Linked DNA regions of Macaca fascicularis. The protein of the gene in region 2 purifies or fractionates together with the protein of the main gene of each other region. This does not show direct contact. Links are inferred from orthologs where the notes say so. Each region holds a gene or a part of one and is shown on either strand. Other genes may lie near its edges.

Evidence for each region.
Region 1: the proteins of SGF29 (region 2) and TAF10 purify together in Homo sapiens (affinity purification with mass spectrometry; 3 studies listed by BioGRID and IntAct, with this or other methods). This does not show direct contact. The link is inferred for Macaca fascicularis from reciprocal best matches to the Homo sapiens genes SGF29 and TAF10.

What each region holds. Positions count from the first base shown.
Region 1 is NC_088388.1:59,466,798-59,470,079, forward strand, and holds TAF10 (transcription initiation factor TFIID subunit 10), read left to right. Parts: upstream 1-1,406; 5' UTR 1,407-1,431; coding exon 1,432-1,678; intron 1,679-1,801; coding exon 1,802-1,956; intron 1,957-2,171; coding exon 2,172-2,236; intron 2,237-2,320; coding exon 2,321-2,435; intron 2,436-2,612; coding exon 2,613-2,702; 3' UTR 2,703-2,782; downstream 2,783-3,282. Other genes in the region: scaffold protein ILK, read right to left, coding at 3,013-3,162. UniProt on the Homo sapiens protein: The TFIID basal transcription factor complex plays a major role in the initiation of RNA polymerase II (Pol II)-dependent transcription.
Region 2 is NC_088394.1:27,811,706-27,815,708, reverse strand, and holds the start of SGF29 (SAGA-associated factor 29), read right to left. Parts: upstream 2,801-4,003; 5' UTR 2,504-2,800; intron 1-2,503. UniProt on the Homo sapiens protein: Chromatin reader component of some histone acetyltransferase (HAT) SAGA-type complexes like the TFTC-HAT, ATAC or STAGA complexes.

The sequences.
Region 1 (3,282 bases), on a different chromosome or scaffold from region 2:
TAGAACTTATCCACTTATATCCCCACTGCTACTACATTAGTTTAGGGCTACATTCTCTTGAAAAGTACAGCGTCCTTACTTCCGGCCAATCCCCAAATCATCTTCCAGAGTAAAATGCAAATCCCATCAGGCCACTTGGATGAAAACCCTTCAAGGATTACTGGATAGAGTTCAGGCTTTTTATTTTCTTCCCCCAATCATAGCTCACAAACCTTCGTTGCTATTTGTTCCTAAGTAACAAATCATTTTTCCTCCTCCCTCCCCAAACCCCAAGGAACTCTCACTCTTGCTCAAGCTGTTCTGTCCCCTTAATACTACCCCTGATACAAACTGCCTGGTTAATTTCCAGAATTCTTACAAGATTCAGCTCAGAAGTCACCTTCTCTCGTGAATGTTTTGATTCCCTGAGGCTACTTCATTTTGCTATGGCTGAAAAATCCTAGATTTTCTAAACAAAACCTGTTTGAATCTTGGTTCTGATATGGACTGGGAGAGAGACTGGGTCAAGCAAGTTTATCTCCCTGAGGCTGTTTCCTCGTCTGTTAAGTGGGAATATTACCTGCCTTTCATAATCACCAGGGAATAAAGTGGAATAATGTTGATAAGAGTACTTGGCACCTGGAAGTAGGTGGCAGATGTTAATGCCCTTCCTCCCTTGCACTGCGACCCCTGTGTCTACCTCTAGTATTGTAACGACCACATAGTATTGAAATAGCCACTTTACTTGTCTGGCTTCCTTTCCAAGACCGTTGGTGCCTAGAGGACTAGAATCGTGTTCTATTTAACTTTGTATTCCCAGGTCCTAGCTCAGGAGTTGGCAAATAAGAATTAAATATCTGCTACATTGAAAATCTCACGCCTTTCACTCGTTGTGATTTTTGCATACGTTGTCGACTTAGGCTGAAACCCCTCCTCCTTCTACAGCAGCACTGTGGGCCGCCCCACTGCTGCCCCCACCTCTCGGGGCAGTTGGTGGAGAAGGGCGGGGGGCTTTCCAAATCCACTATGAATCCTTACAAGGCTGAATAAGGGAACTTGAAAGGATGCAGACAGGCAGGCAATCCGCAGTCGAGGGATGTAGGGCCCATAAACCTCGAAGCAAGGTCTTGAGCGTCAGACAGAATGAGGTGTCCCAGAGCGGCGGAAGAGTCCCGGACGCACGCTGCTTCTAGTCTCGACGGAATCGCCACCGAGCACCGCAGAGGCTAGGGCGGAATGGCGACGGCAGCGCAGTTCGCCAAGGCTTGGTCTCCGCCCTTCAGCCTATTTCCTCTAACCCGCAGACCCACTACCAGAGGAGGCGGGGAGCGGGCTGGAGAGCACTAACAGTGACAGGCGGGGCGAGTCGAGGGCGCGTGACGTCACCCCGGGGTGTGCGCGGCGCGAGCGGAAGCGGAAGCGGCTCTGTTCGCCGCCTCTCCCACCGGCCCGATGAGCTGCAGCGGCTCCGGCGCGGACCCCGAGGCGGCGCCGGCTTCCGCCGCCTCGGCCCCGGGCCCGGCACCCCCGGTCTCGGCTCCCGCAGCGCTGCCCGCCAGCACCGCTGCGGAGAACAAGGCCAGCCCCGCGGGGACAGCAGGGGGGCCTGGGGCTGGAGCAGCTGCTGGGGGCACGGGACCCTTGGCGGCGCGGGCCGGGGAGCCAGCTGAGCGGCGTGGGGCGGGTGAGGGCCTGACGGGTGAGGGCGAGGGAAGCGTCTGGGACTGGGCCCAGCGGCGGGTGAGGGCAGCGGGTATAGACAGACCTCGCTGGGGCCCTGCGCCTCCCACCTCTGTGTCTCATTTTGCTGGTTCTCCTCCAGCTCCGGTGTCGGCGGGTGGCGCGGCGCCCCCAGAAGGGGCCATGTCTAACGGGATTTACGTACTGCCGAGCGCGGCCAACGGAGACGTGAAGCCGGTGGTGTCCAGCACGCCGTTGGTGGACTTCTTGATGCAGCTGGAGGATTACACGCCTACGGTGGGCTTCCGCCCGAACAAGGCCACCTAGCCTGCTGTCACAACTTTCAGCCACATCTCCGTGCTTTTCAGCACCCTCTGATGTTTGCTTCCGTAGTCGCTCTTGTTTTTGCCCTCTGCTCACCCAAATCGTGAGCTTCCTGATAACCAGGTCTATCCGACATTTCCCTCACCCTCATCCCACTCTGCTGACAGTTCTCTTAATTGATTTCTTAGATCCCAGATGCAGTGACTGGTTACTACCTGAACCGTGCTGGCTTTGAGGCCTCAGACCCACGCATGTGAGTAAACCCAGGGCAGGTTAGTTTTGGGTGCTTGTGCAGTGTGTTGTCCATCTCCTTCTCATCTAAGTTTTTTCTCTCTAGAATTCGGCTCATCTCCCTAGCTGCCCAGAAATTCATCTCAGATATTGCCAATGATGCCCTACAGCACTGCAAAATGAAGGGCACAGCCTCCGGCAGCTCCCGGAGCAAGAGCAAGGTGTGAGGGGAGGCTCATTGAATCACTAATTACCTTCCACAACAGTGGAAGCTTATCCTGCCACCCCTTTGGGGAAACTGAATCCTAGGGGAGGTGTAAAACTTACTCAGGGTCACCCATCTGGGATTGAAGTGTGGGATTCCTGTGCTCAGTTGGTGCTCTTCCCTCTTCCCTCAGGACCGCAAGTATACTTTAACCATGGAGGACTTGACCCCTGCCCTCAGCGAGTATGGCATCAATGTGAAGAAGCCGCACTACTTCACCTGAGCCACCCAACCTAAATGTACTTGTCTGTCCCCATGTCCCCACACCAGCCTGTTTTCATAATAAACTTTATTGTGACAGGCGGGGCTGATCCCTCCCATGTTGGGAGACACCATGTGGCAAGTGACAAAGCTCTGAGCCCGCCCCTTTTGGGGCCACAGTGGTAGGGATGGGGGAAGGGGATGGACCCCATGGCTGGGGTAGTACCATGACTGGAGGCAGGGGAGGCAACCAGAGGTCTGCTGCTTTGGGGAAGTACATTCCCCCAACCATGTCCTGACACCTCTGGAGTTCAGGCAAGGGCCTTCCGGTCCTACTTGTCCTGCATCTTCTCCAGGATAGGCACAATCATGTCAAATTTGGGTCGCTTTGCAGGGTCTTCGTTCATGCAGATCTTCATGAGCTTACACACATGAGGGGAAATACCTGGTGGGATGGTAGGCCGAAGGCCTTCCAATGCCACCTGTGAATACAAGAAAAAACTGAGCCTCACAATTTGAGTCTGTCATGTAGAGAGAAGCCACTGGCCCCTGGGACAGGATAACTGTATATCCGAACAAATATGGGAGGAGCCCAGGCCCAC
Region 2 (4,003 bases):
GATCCCTTGAGCCTAGGAGTTTGGGAATAGGGAGCTACAATGGCACCACTGTACTCCAGCCTGGGTGACACAGTAAGACCTTGTTTCTAAAAAAAACATAAATAGGTTGGGCGCAGTGGCTCACACCTGTAATCCCAGCACTTTGGGAGGCCAAGGCCGGCGGATCAACTAAGGTCAGGAGCTCAAGACCAGCCTGGCCAACATGGTGAAACCCTGTCTCTACTAAAAATACAAAATTAATCAGGTGTGGTGGCACATGCCTGTAATCACAGCTACTCAGAAGGCTGAGGCAGGAGAATTGCTTGAAACCGGAAGGCAGAGGTTGTGATGAGCCGAGATTGTGCCACTGCACTCCAGCCTGGACAACAAAGAGCAAAACTCTGTCTCAAAAAAAAAAAAAAAAAAAAATTAGCCAGGCATGGTGGTGCACGCTTGTAATCCCAGCTACAACCGGGAAGCAGAGGTTGCAGTGAGCCAACATTGCACCACTACACTCCGGCCTGGGTGACAGAGCAAGACTCCATCCCATAAATAAATAAATAAATACAATCTATATTCATCAATTGGTTAAAGAGACATTAAGAAGACAATTTTTTTCCTTCATGCCTCTGTATTGCAACTTATGCCAGTGTCTCTCATTTAAACCTTACAGCAATCCTATAAAATAGATAACAGAATGGTACGTATAGTAAGGAAATTGAAGTTCAGATAGGTTATGCTAGGTAACTCAGGAAAAATAGGTAGTTGAGCTGGGGCTGCAAGGCTGCAGGTTCTAAAATCTATGCTCTTCCTCTCAATTCCAAGTTTTGTCAGGACTTCAGCATATTCAAGAGTAAAAGAGATCATGGAAGTGGAAGCTGCCAAACCACCATTAGGCTATTATGACAACACTCAAAGTATCACCAGTAAAATGATGACTGAGGCAACTGAAAAACAAAGCTAGGGAAATGTGATGGTTAACTTCATGCGTCAACCTGATTGGGCTAGGGGATGCCCAGATAGCTGGTGAAATACTTTTGAGTGTGTTTGTGAGTTTCCGGAGGGTTTGCTTTCCTGGGCTTCCAGCTTGCAGAAGGCAAATCTTGGGACTTCTCAGCCTCTGTAATTGTGTGACCCAATCCATCACAATAAATCTCTTTCAATATAGCTATACAGTTGACCCTTGAACAATACAGGTTTTAATTGTGCAGGTCCACTTATATGTGGATTTTCTTCCACCTTTAGGACTTTTTTGAAACAGGGTCTTGCTCTGTCACCCAGGCTAGAGTGCAGTGGCACGATCTTGGCTCACTGCAGCCTCCACCTCCTGGGTTTAAGCAATTATTGTACCTCAGCCTCCCAAGTAGCTGGGATTACAGGTGCGCACCACCAAGCCCGGCTAATTTTTTTTTTTTTTTTTTTAAGAAGAGACTGGATTTCACCACGTTGCCCAGGCTGGTCTCAAACCCCTGAGCCCAGGCAATCTGCCTGCCTCAGCCTCCCAAAGTGCTAGGATTACAGGTGTGAGCCACCACGCCTGGCTGGCATTTACATTTAAAATGTGAAACTGGGATTGTGGTGGCTCATGCCTGTAATTCCAGCATTTGGGGAGGCTTTGGTTAGGAAGACTGCTTAAGCCCAGGAGTTCAAGGCTGCAAGAGACTGCAGTGAGCTGTGATAGCACCACTGTTCTCCAGTCTGAGCAACAGAGAACCTGTCTCTAAGAAAAAAAAAAAAAGTGAGATGCCTAGGTTAAAATCAGCAGAGGAGAAGCCAGAGTGAGGAGAGGCAAAGGAAGAGAACGTTCAGCAAGCCAAATGAAAACAGTGTTTCAAGAAAGTGCAGCGATCAACAGCACCAGATGCTGATACAGGACTGACACCTAACTTAACAATGAATTTGGCCATCTAGAGATCACTGGTGGCTTTGACAAGAAGCCGGTTTAGTGGAGTGGTGGAGACCAAAGCCTGACTAGAGGCTCAAGGTTCAAGACTTGAAGGAGAAAAGGCACTAATGAGGGTAGACTGAGGCCTCTGGCTGCAAACCGGAGGCGAGGAGGAGGTAACTGGAGGACAGCGAGGGTGAAGGGGGCTGCTTTGTTGTTCCTAAGATGGGCATTTTTTGGCCAGGCACGGGGGCTTATGCCTATACTCCCCACACTTTGGAAGGCCGAGGCGAGAGGTTGAGCCAACGAGTTCGAGACCAGCCTGGGCAAATTACGAGCTGTTAGTGTATCTTCAAAAAAAAAAAAAAGATAATTTTTGTGCAAATAATAAAATAAATGCTGGAGTTCGGGGCCCATCTTCTGTCCGCATCTTCGTGACCCGGGCCATGCACCCGACCTGGGGGCTGCCTCCCTGCCAAGCCCGGCGTACTGCTGTCTCCCACCCTAGCCCGGGATGGAAGCGCGCACGCGCAGACCTCGAACGGCTGGGCGCAGGGCCCGCCCCACCGTCGAGTCCCGCCCCTCCCGCCCCCCAGCCCCGCCCCTCCCGCCCCCCTCCCGCTCAGAGCACGTACGCACCGTCCCTAGAGCGCCGCCTGAAGGAGGACGGGAGACTGGGCGCTGAGGGAGGGTTTAGCCCTTCGCTCCCGCGCTTCGCCGGAGGTCTCAGGCCACGGCCCGTCCCCACCTACCGAGTCTCGCAGAAAACAAGGTCTTCGGGCTGGAAACTGCGACGAGGGAAGCTGGCGCGTTCCTTGAACGCTTTTTCGGAGTCTGCGGATGATCACGGACCTGCGTTCGAAGATTGGCGGCACGTCGAGAGCCGCACACGTTTTTTTTTTTTCCTTTTATGAGCGCAGTCGCGCGCGGAGGACCTTGAACGCATGCGCAGTCGTTCCTCTGTGACGTGACCCGCTGCCGGGTGGGAAATGTAGTTTTTACTTGGCGGAACCCTAATTTAACCAACCAAAGTGCTTGTGCGTTTTCAGCGTTTTCTCCCATTCCCCCAGACTATTTAAAACAAAATGCAAAAAAAAAAAAAAACAAAAAAAACCCAACTTGAAAACGAAGAGATTGCTGCTTGCTGGAGAGGAGTGGGTGCAGGTAATACAAAAACCGTACTTTCTGCGCAATTTTGTTGTGAACCTAAAAATGCCCTAAAAACTAAAGTCAATAAAGTCTATTGTTAAAAAATTAATTAAAAACAGGCCGGGCGCGGTGGCTCACGCCTGTAATCCCAACACTTTGGGAGGCTGAGGCGGGCGGATCACCTGAGTTAAGGACTTCGAGACCAGCCTGACCCACATGGTGAAACCCTGTCTCTACTAAAAAATACAGAAATTAGCCGGGCGTGGTGGTGGGTGCCTGCAATCCCAGCTACTTGGGAGGCTGAGGCTGGAGAATCGCTTGAATCCAGGAGGCGGAGGTTGTAGTGACCGGAGATTGCGCCATTGCACTCCAGCCTGGGTATCAAGAGGGAAACTCTACATCTCAAAAAAAAACAAAACAAAAAAAAAAAAAAACAAGCAGACCTTTAGATCCAGAAATAGCACTTTTAGGGGGTCTTCTCAGGAAAGTATTAAGGATATGGACGTGCAATGGACGCATAGCCTCAGTGGTATTTATCGAAATCCATCTTGGTATCGTATAATTTCTTACATAACCCTACAAATGTCTGTAATTATTTGTAGATTATTTGATAAACTTGCAAGTCCTATGAGATTAGGATCATCTTGTGTTCACCTGTGTATTCCTAGTACCTAGCACAGTGCCTAGCCGTCACGTTTCTTTTTCTTTTTTTTCTCTATAAGACAGGGTCTCGCTCTGTTGTCCAGGTCTCGCTCTGTTGTCCAGGTCTCGCTCTGTTGTCCAGGTTGGAGTGCAGTGGTGCTATCAGGGCTTCTGAGTAGCTAGGACTACAAGCGCACACCAGCACATTCTGCTGATTTTTAAATTTTTTTGGTAGAGATGGGGGTCTTGCTATGTTGCCTAGGCTGGTCTTGAGTTCCTGGGCTCAAGCGATCCTCCTGCCTCAGCCTCCCAAAGTTGTGGGATTACAGGCATGAACCACCATGCTCA